Linked DNA regions of Macaca mulatta. The protein of the gene in region 1 purifies or fractionates together with the protein of each later gene. This does not show direct contact. Links are inferred from orthologs where the notes say so. Each region holds a gene or a part of one and is shown on either strand. Other genes may lie near its edges.

Region 1 (4,475 bases):
AATATTGACTTTTCTCACCCCCCACCTCTGTTGCCCCAATAGCCACTTGTCTCACCCCTCATCTGTCGCCCCGATATTGAGTTTTCTCACCCCCTACCTCTATCGCCCCAATATTGAGTTTTCTCACCCCCACCTCGGTCGCCCCAATGTTGCCTTGTCTCACCCCCACCTCGGTCCCCCAATGTTGCCTTGTCTCACCCCCACCTCGGTCCCCCAATGTTGCCTTGTGTCACCCCCACCTCGGTCGCCCCAATGTTGCCTTGTCTCACCCCCACCTCGGTCGCCCCAATGTTGCCTTGTCTCACCCCCACCTCGGTCGCCACAATGTTGCCTTGTCTCACCTTGGCCGCCCCGGAACTTCCCGGGTCCTTCCCACCCGCGTTGCTGAGAGTCCGGGTTCACTCATCACCTCGGGCGGGACCCGATCCTCCGCTCCTGAGGGCCCCCAGTGAAGCAGTGGGACGCGTCTCCCCAAAAAGGTGACCGCCTGCCTGTCCCGAAAGAGAATGGGATCCAAATGGGAAGTTTGGGGGCGGCGAGCCGGCCCCGCAGAGAGAAACTGCACTTCGGAAACGTCTCGGAGACCCCTTTACTTGTGCGGGGTGCAGCCGCCGGAGCACACGCGACAAAGGCAGGGCTTCTGGCCTCTGTCCTGCCCCTGTCGGGGCTTCTGGCCTCTGCCGCCATCTAAGCGGACCCCGGTTGGCTGAGACTCAGAACTTTTTAAAAACAGGGTAAACGCGCCCCCTGCGAGAGAACAAGGGGGCCGGGGAAGAAGAGGGTAGGGCTGATTTACAACTTTTGACCTGGAAGTTGAGTTTCTTAACTCAGTTTTCCCAACCAAATGGCGAACAGGACGTTTATACTGAGACATCATTCATTTTCTGAGATCCAGATTCCAGTGCCTTTGAAGTATTTTTACTTGGGGCGGAGGAGGTCGCTTCCTCCCGCCTAATTTATTAATCTGTTCACATAGATATGTACATTTTTAAAGGCAGAGAGGTGGGTCTCGCCATGTTGCCGCGGCTGGTCTCGAGCTCCCAGGCTTAAGCGATCCTCCCGCCTGGGCCGCCCAAGGCTCTGGGATTACAGACGTGAGCCACAGCGGCCGGCCCGTGTTTCACTCTGATCAAATCTGGGTAATACCCTCGGAATGTTTCAACCCCGTCGGCCGCACCGCTCCGCGCTCATTCCAGCTTTGAAAGCCGGAGGAAGAAATGCGCAGGCTCCAGCCGCGTCCCCGCGGGCCGCGCTCCCGTTTCCTAGCAACGCCCTGTCACGTGCGCCGCCGCCCGGCTTCCGTAGCGGGAGCCTGCCGGAGCCGGCGCGTGCGTGCGTGCGTGTGTGCGCATGCGCAGGCGGGGGCGACCGGCGTGCCCCGCGCGCGCCCCGCCCCCGCGATGACGCCGTGCGTGCGCGCGCCCGGTCCGCGCCCCCGCCGGTTTTTATAGCGGCCGCGGGCGGCTCCGGCGGCGGTTGGCGGCTGCGGGGCCGGCGAGGAGGAGACATCATGGCGGCTACGCTGTTCGTGCTGCTGGGTTTGGCGCTGCTGGGCGCCCACGGAGCCTACGGGGCTGGTGAGGAGCGGGCCGGGGGCGGGGGTGCGGTCCTGCAGGGGCCGGGAATGGAGGCCGCGGCCCAGGCTGCGGTCCGGACCGGAAGCCAACGGGAGCGTGGGGCCTCGGCGAGGGGCCGCCTGGGGTGCGAAAGGCCGGCCCCGGGGGTTTCCCGCGCCAGCCTGGAGCTTGGGGGTGAATTCCCAGGGTTTGAGGGGGGCTGGGGGTCCCTCCCGGCGCTGCCTGCCAGGCTCCCCCGGGCGTCGCACCCTCTGTGTGGGCGTGAAGCCCCTGCTTGGGGGCGGGAGCCTGGGGGTCCTGGCCAGGCCGGTCTCGGTCGGGGGAGGTGGGCGTCCTGCTTTTCGGTGGCCTGGGGTTGGGGGTTCCCCGGCAGAGGTGGAGGCTCTCGCCTGATCTCTGGGCGAGGGCGTCTGCGAAGGCGGCTGGAGGTGGCCCGCCCGCCCGTCCCTCCGGCCAGGAGAAGGGAGACCCAGAGCCTGGGTGAGCGTCCCCTTTGGCCTGGAGTCGGGGCAGGGGCTGGGCTGGTGCCTGCCCGACCTGTCCTGCTGGGACTGGACTCCGCAGGTCGGGGGAGAACGGCCTGAGGGTGGAGCCTGGAGACGGGCCCACCCTGCCTGCGCGTGTTAGGGTCACAGACCCTGCCCGGAGTGTCTGGGGTCCCCGCCAGGCCCCGCGCTGCCGGGGCGATCGTCTTGGCGCTCTCTCCTGGAAAAGGGGCTTTTGTCCTCCAGGCGCACACGGAGGCTCCGAGTGGGTCAGCCTTCCGGATCGGGAAGGGATTACCGTTCTTCGGGGGATTTAGCCCTGGCGTCTTGCCTCGGGCGTGCACCTGCCCCCGGGTGTTCTCCCAGACTCTTAAGCCCTCGCAGGCTCCCTCGAGGCGCCCTGCCTGGAAGAGAAGGCAGAATGTCCCTGGAGTGGCGCCAGCCTTCTCTCTGATTCTGCCTTGCTTCAGGGCACAGAATGTGGTGGTCTCTGAACGCCCCTTCTCCTTTACAGGCAAGGAAGCTGAGCCCTGTGGGGAGTCGAGGTTCCAAGGTCACAATGAGGGGCCTTGGCCACCCCATTCAGCGCAGGAAATAGTGAGAAAGTCGTTTTTAGCAGACTCTGACCGGGCATTAGGTTTCCAGTGCTGTCTTAGGAGGGGCCGTGTGGGGGTGGGCAGACGCGGTTTGGAGAGTGCATTTGGGAAATGGATTGAGGTGTGTTTTTCCGGGAGAAAAGCATGACAGCCTTTCTTGCTGGATAGAAAATTTCTTCCTTTATTGAGACCCCCATTTGGTTCTGGATTAAATATTTATAGTGAGGCTTAATCCCAGCACTTTGGGAGGCTGAGGTGGGTGGATCACCTGAGGTCAGGAGTTCAAGACCAGCCTGGCCAACATAGTGAAACCCCATCTCTACTAAAAACACAAAAATTAGCTGGGCGTGGTGGCGCACGCCTGTAATCCCAGCCACTCGGGAAGCTGAGGCAAGAGAATCGCTTGAACCCAGGAGGTGAAGGTTGCAGTGAGCCGATATTGGGCCACTGCACTCCAGCCTGGGTAACAGAGGGAGACTCTTGTCTTTTTTTAAAAAAAAAAAAAAAAAAAAAAAAAGGCTGGGCGCGGTGTCTCACGCCTGTAATCCCAGCACTTTGGGAGGCTGAGTCAGGCGGATCACGAGGTCAGGAGATCAAGACCATCCTGGCTAATACGGTGAAACCCCGCCTCTACTAAAAATTCAAAAACTTAACTGGGTGTGGTGGCAGGTGCCTGTAGTCCCAGCTTCTAGGGAGGCTGAGGCAGGAGAATGGTGTGAACCTGGGAGGCAGAGCTTGCAGCGAGCCGAGATGGCGCCGCTGCCCTCCAGCCTGGGCGACAGAGCGAGACTCCGTCTCAGACAAAAAAAAATTATAGTGACTGATGCGTTGGGAACAAGGTGTAGAGCTGGAGGGTCTGGGCTCCTGAAGGGTCAAGAGCAAGGGCTTGGAGCCTCTCTCCTGGGCATTGAGCCATAGGGGGCCTTGGGCAGAGGCTGAGGAGGGAGCTCCTTCTTCCAGAGGCTTTGCCAGCTAACTCCTGACCCACGTCTGAGATTTCTCTTCCTGGTAACCGAAGTGGCCCTTTATCGAATGTCTCCTGGGCAAGGACCTGGCTCCAGCACTGGACCAGCTCTGTGGGGGAGACACAAATAAGAGCCCCCGGGCGAGGTGAATGTGTGAGATAAGCCACCGCCTCAGCCCTGTGGAAACAGCCTCAGTGGTGGGAGCCAGCCAGGCTTGACTGGGTTTCAAGCCCAGCACGAGGCTCCCACATTGAGCTAATTTGGACAGCCCAGTGGGTGAAAGACCTTTGGTCCATCCCTGCCGGGTAGCGCGGGTCACGGTTTTGTTCCTCTTGTGCAGGGGACTGAGAAGCGTTTCTCCTCAGCAGAAAGCTTAGCCCGGGGCTTACTGGCCAGAGCTGCATGTGGAGTCCGCAGTGTGGCAGCGCTGCTGTGCAGCCGTGTGTGTGTGTGCGTGCGTGTGTGTGGTGAGAAGTGGGTCTGTGTGTGTGTGTGTGTGTGTGTGGTGAGAAGTGGGTCTGTGTGTGTGTGTGTGTGGTGAGAAGTGGGTCTGTGTGTGTCTGTGTGTGTGTGTGTGGTGAGAAGTGGGTCTGTGTGTGTGTGTGGTGAGAAGTGGGTCTGTGTGTGTGTGTGTGTGGTGAGAAGTGGGTCGTGTGTGTGTGTGTGTGATGAGAAGTGGGTCTGTGTGTGTGTGTGTGTGTGTGTGTGGTGAGAAGTGGGTCTGTGTGTGTCTGTGTGTGTGTGTGTGGTGAGAAGTGGGTCTGTGTGTGTGTGTGTGTGTGTGTGTGGTGAGAAGTGGGTCTGTGTGTGTGTGTGTGTGTGGTGAGAAGTGGGTCTGTGTGTGTCTGTGTG
Region 2 (4,425 bases), on another chromosome or scaffold:
GAGGCCATGAGTGCGAGACCAGCCTGGCCAACATGGTGAAACCCCTTCTTTACTAAAAATACAAAAATTAGCCGGGTGTGGTGGCAGGCAGCTGTAATCCCAGCTACTTGGGATGCTGAGGCAGGATAATCTCTTGAACCCTGGAGGTGAAGGCTGCAGTGAGCCAAGATCGTGCCATTACACTCCAGCCTGGGTGACAGAGTGAGACACCATCTCAAAAAAAAAAAAAAAACCCACATATTTATTTTTACGTATACATATATGTGTATACACACACACGCACACACACACACACATACATAAGATTAAGATCACCCATAAAGTTATGATTTTATCCCTAAGGATATGTAAACACGACACATAAAATTTCTTTAGGAAATATCATCTGCCTACTTCCTTACTTTGTTTCTCACGTCTCCTTTCTTCCACCCAAACCTAACTAACTAATTCTAACCCCAAATATGCAAGGGAATAGTTTTCTTACATCAATGTCTAGGACAGTTTTCCTCTCCCTCATCTGCCATTCACAGCTCAAAAACTCAGCTCAGGCCAGGCACAGTGGCTCATGCCTGTAATTCCAGCACTTTGGGAAGTAAGTAGATCACTTGGAGGTCAGGAGTTCGAGCCCAGCCTGGCCGACACAGTGGGTCCTTGTCTTTACTAAAAATACAAACATTAGCAGGGCGTGGTGGCATGTGCCTAAAATCCCAGCTACTCGGGAGGCTAAGGCAGGAGAATTGCTTGAGCCCTGGAGACGAAGGTTGCAGTGAACCAGGATCAAGCCACTGTTCTCCAGCCTGGCAACAGAGCAAGAGGGTCTCACAAAAAAAAAAAAAAAAAAAAAAGGAAGATCAGCTCAGATGTCACCTTTTCTTAGAAACCTTCTCCAAGTACCCAAACTGGTCAGGTGCCCCTTCTTGTCACTCCCACAACACGCTATGCATGCTGCAATCATTGCCCTTATCCTACTTAACTGTAATTACTTGTTTACTTTTATGACTTCTTGTGCCCTTAAAGGCAGAGCCTGGATCTGTAACTTCTATATCTCAGAAACTGAGAATAATGAGTAGGATACTGTATATATTCCTAATGTTTGCTGCAATCAGCAGTATCTTGTATGTTTCTAAAATGCTACTTTTAGATCAGAGTATTACACAGTAACAGTGTAGCTGGGGAAATAAAAACAGCCTGAAGTACTAAGAGAAAGTAAGGTTACCATGGAAGTAAAGGTTATCCAGTCACAAAACAGTAGCAAGAACTAGAGGGTTGCTGTCCAGCATCAGAACTACAGAATGCTCAGATCCAACTGCCATAGTTTTTCACATGAAAAAGTGGACTCAAGTCTTATTAAAGAATCGTTGGTGAAGGGGGAAGTAAAAAAAAAAAAAAAAAAAAACCAACTCCTTCCTTTAACGTACAAAATGAAAATTCCAGCCAATTCACAAACCAGTTGAGAGCTTAAAAAGCTACATGTTAAAAGCTGGATCTGCATAGCAACCCTCTTCTCTTCATGCCTGCTCTGGAGTAGCAGTCAGAAAACAAAGTTGATATCCACCACAGAACTGTGGAGAAGATCAATGTAGAGAGAGATTTAAATAATAAGCCTTATAGGCAGTTAGCTATCAGAAACCGAAAGGTCTTGATAGAGAGGGAACAGAAGTTTCTCCATGTTCCAAAGAATATTGGTGTCTCAATTTGAAGGAAGCCATATTCTCTTTCGAAACTGGGATGTTTATCTTGCTCTGTCGTGTTAACCCTGTTTTGACCTTTCTGCACAAATGAACACTACATTTAAGCCCAAACCGGACACTAATCACCAGGACATGCTAATATGCTTTTAAAATGAATTATTTTATTTCCTCCTAAAGTAGCTAAAGACCAATTTAGTGGTTAAAAACAACAAAAAACAAACAAAAACCAAATCAGTTGCCCCAGGACTGTGCAATCCTGAAGGCTATAAAAAAGGCTATAAAACTTCCATCTCATAATTTCTTCATGAAAATCGTGGGTGACCAACATCTGCCAGCAAAAAAGACCGGTTAAAACCAAGAGAGGAAGAGGGGGTTGGGGGGAAAAAAGGCAAGCGGGAGAGAAGCTGGGTGGCGCTGGCGGTCCTCCAAAATGATTTGTGAAAAAGGTACAATAATGACTGGAAGACAAAAACAGGCAATAAAAATGTCTAGAAGTTCTAAATTTTCCTACATTAAAGTGTTTAAAACTCTATCCCCACATACAAGCCAAGTGCTTTACTCCCAGGAATATAACAGCAGCAAAGAACGGGGTGCGGAGCCACAGGCTATCTCAGGGCGGGTCAGACCCGCAGGTTTCTCAGGTTTACCCAAAAGGTAGCTGGACACGCCCTCGCTAGAGATGGGGAGACTCCAATTCTCATCCCTCATTCCCGTGTCCAGGAGCTTTCTGAAGGCCCAGGGCCTGATAGAAAGAAAGAGAAGGAACAAGTGGAAAGGAACCAAAGGAACCATAATCGGTAGAAACTTCCAAAAGCATGCACACACAGACACACAACGATACACTGTTGTCCTGGAAACCAACCCAACCAACTAACCCCTCCTCGGGAGCCTAGGGGGCCAGCTCTTTTGGGCAAGGGTCTTGGGCCGGAGGAATAGGGAGTGGGAGAAAGGGGTACTATCTCGCGCAGCTCCGCTCTGGGCCTCTTTTCCCTGGGCGCCTACCGAGTAGAGGAGCACGACAGCGCTGGGACTGGTTGGACCAACGGAGAAATAAGAGTTAGATGAACTGGGAGACTCCATGGTGCGGCTGCCGTCCCGGGCGGGGTCTAGGATTCTTTGCTAAGCAGTGGTGGTGCTGCTGCTGGGGGCGGTTCTTTCGCGCAGGACGGCCCTACTTCGCCTAGGGCGGCGGCACCCTCTGCAGCCGCACCACAGGACCCCGGGCGCCGCCATCTCAGCCAGGACGGAAGCCGCGCAGGGCCCTATGGCGCATGCGCGCAGTCGCGGAACCCGGAAGCGGGGACGCCGCGCGGCAGAATGAGGTTTGATTCCTCGGTTGATCCCACAATGTCGCAGGAGCAAGGCCCGGGGTCCTCCACACTTCCCAGTTCTCCGACACTTCTTGACGCTCTGCTCCAGAACCTTTACGACTTCGGTGAGTGCGGGGTCCCAGGAGCCCACGTGGAGAGCAGATCTGAGGAACGTGGTTCTCCTGTGCGGCCTGTGCTGGATTGGCCTCTGCTTTGAGGCTAAAGGTTCTTGCATGTCAAGCACCCGTAACTTCGTCCCACCTGGTTCCAGTAGCGGATGCAGAACACATTTCTCCATCGGAAGTCACCCCTTGACCGGGCTCTGTCGAGTTATTCATCAGACCTTCCAACTCGTCCCCAAGTGTGGGGACCGTCGTACTTTCTTGTAGGAAGCACCAAGGCTTTCCGATTTAACGCGGGCAGTGCGCACAGGACCTTGGACTCTCGAAGTAGCCCACTTTTCCACGTTTTCTTGAGCTCTGGGAAGTCCCCTTTCCCCATGCCACCCCCAAGACCTGCCTGACCTTGGTGCGATAGTGTCATTTCGCCCTGGGGCCTCGGGCCTGTTGGATAATTCACCAGCTTCATCCTTGTGTGTCCCTCGCCAGAGACATAGCCCTTGGCGAGTTGTCCTTTTCCAACTTTTTTTTTTTTTTTTTTTTTTTTTTTGAGTCTCGCTCTGTCGCCCAGGCTGGAGTGCAGTGGCGCGATCTCGGCTCACTGCAAGCTCCGCCTCCCGAGTTTACGCCATTCTCCTGCCTCAGCCTCCGAGTAACTGAGACTACAGGCGCGCACCACCACGCCCGGCTAATTTTTTGTATTTTCAGTAGAGATAGGGTTTCCGCCGTGTTAGCCAGGATGGTCTCGATCTCCTGACCTTGTGATCCGCCCATCTCCACCGACCAAAGTGCTCACAGTCGTGAGCCACCGCGCCCGGCCTTTTTTTTTTTTTTAAACAAGTGCGCCAACCTTTTACTCTCCATTCTTGATCTTGATGGGGGAAAAGGAAAATAAAAGAGCCCATTAAAGTCGCATGGCGTGTCAGTAGGAACACAGTGCCTCATACTCTGAAGAGCTTGCCCGGAAGAAGGTGACACCCTTTGCACATGCACTAAGGAAAATCATTAGATTTCAGGACAACACACATTTCTTAAATTTACAGCGTGATATTTTAAAAGCTATTTTTATTTTGGTACGACTGCTCAAAATTTTAAGCTCACCTAAACAGTAGGAATGATAATTAAAAGTATTGAGAACTTGCCATATACCACATGCTTTTCATGTATTTGCTAATTTAATTTTTAACTTCATGAAATAGACACTGTCATAAATCCCATGATTGCAAATGTGAAAACAAGTACTAGAGGTTCATGAAACCTGATACAGGTTGTCTAACTGGTAATTTTTGCAGAGCCTGGATTCTG

The links.
Region 2: the proteins of BSG (region 1) and GNPAT purify together in Homo sapiens (affinity purification with mass spectrometry; 3 studies listed by BioGRID and IntAct, counting the BioPlex papers as one, with this or other methods). This does not show direct contact. The link is inferred for Macaca mulatta from reciprocal best matches to the Homo sapiens genes BSG and GNPAT.

The regions. Positions count from the first base shown.
Region 1 is NC_133424.1:1,212,082-1,216,556, forward strand, and holds the start of BSG (basigin), read left to right. Parts: upstream 1-1,471; 5' UTR 1,472-1,510; coding exon 1,511-1,577; intron 1,578-4,475.
Region 2 is NC_133406.1:17,786,827-17,791,251, forward strand, and holds the start of GNPAT (dihydroxyacetone phosphate acyltransferase), read right to left. Parts: upstream 2,877-4,425; 5' UTR 2,772-2,876; coding exon 2,694-2,771; intron 1-2,693. Other genes in the region: C1H1orf131 (40S small subunit processome assembly factor 1), read left to right, coding at 3,009-3,126. UniProt on the Homo sapiens protein: Dihydroxyacetonephosphate acyltransferase catalyzing the first step in the biosynthesis of plasmalogens, a subset of phospholipids that differ from other glycerolipids by having an alkyl chain attached through a vinyl ether linkage at the sn-1 position of the glycerol backbone, and which unique physical properties have an impact on various aspects of cell signaling and membrane biology.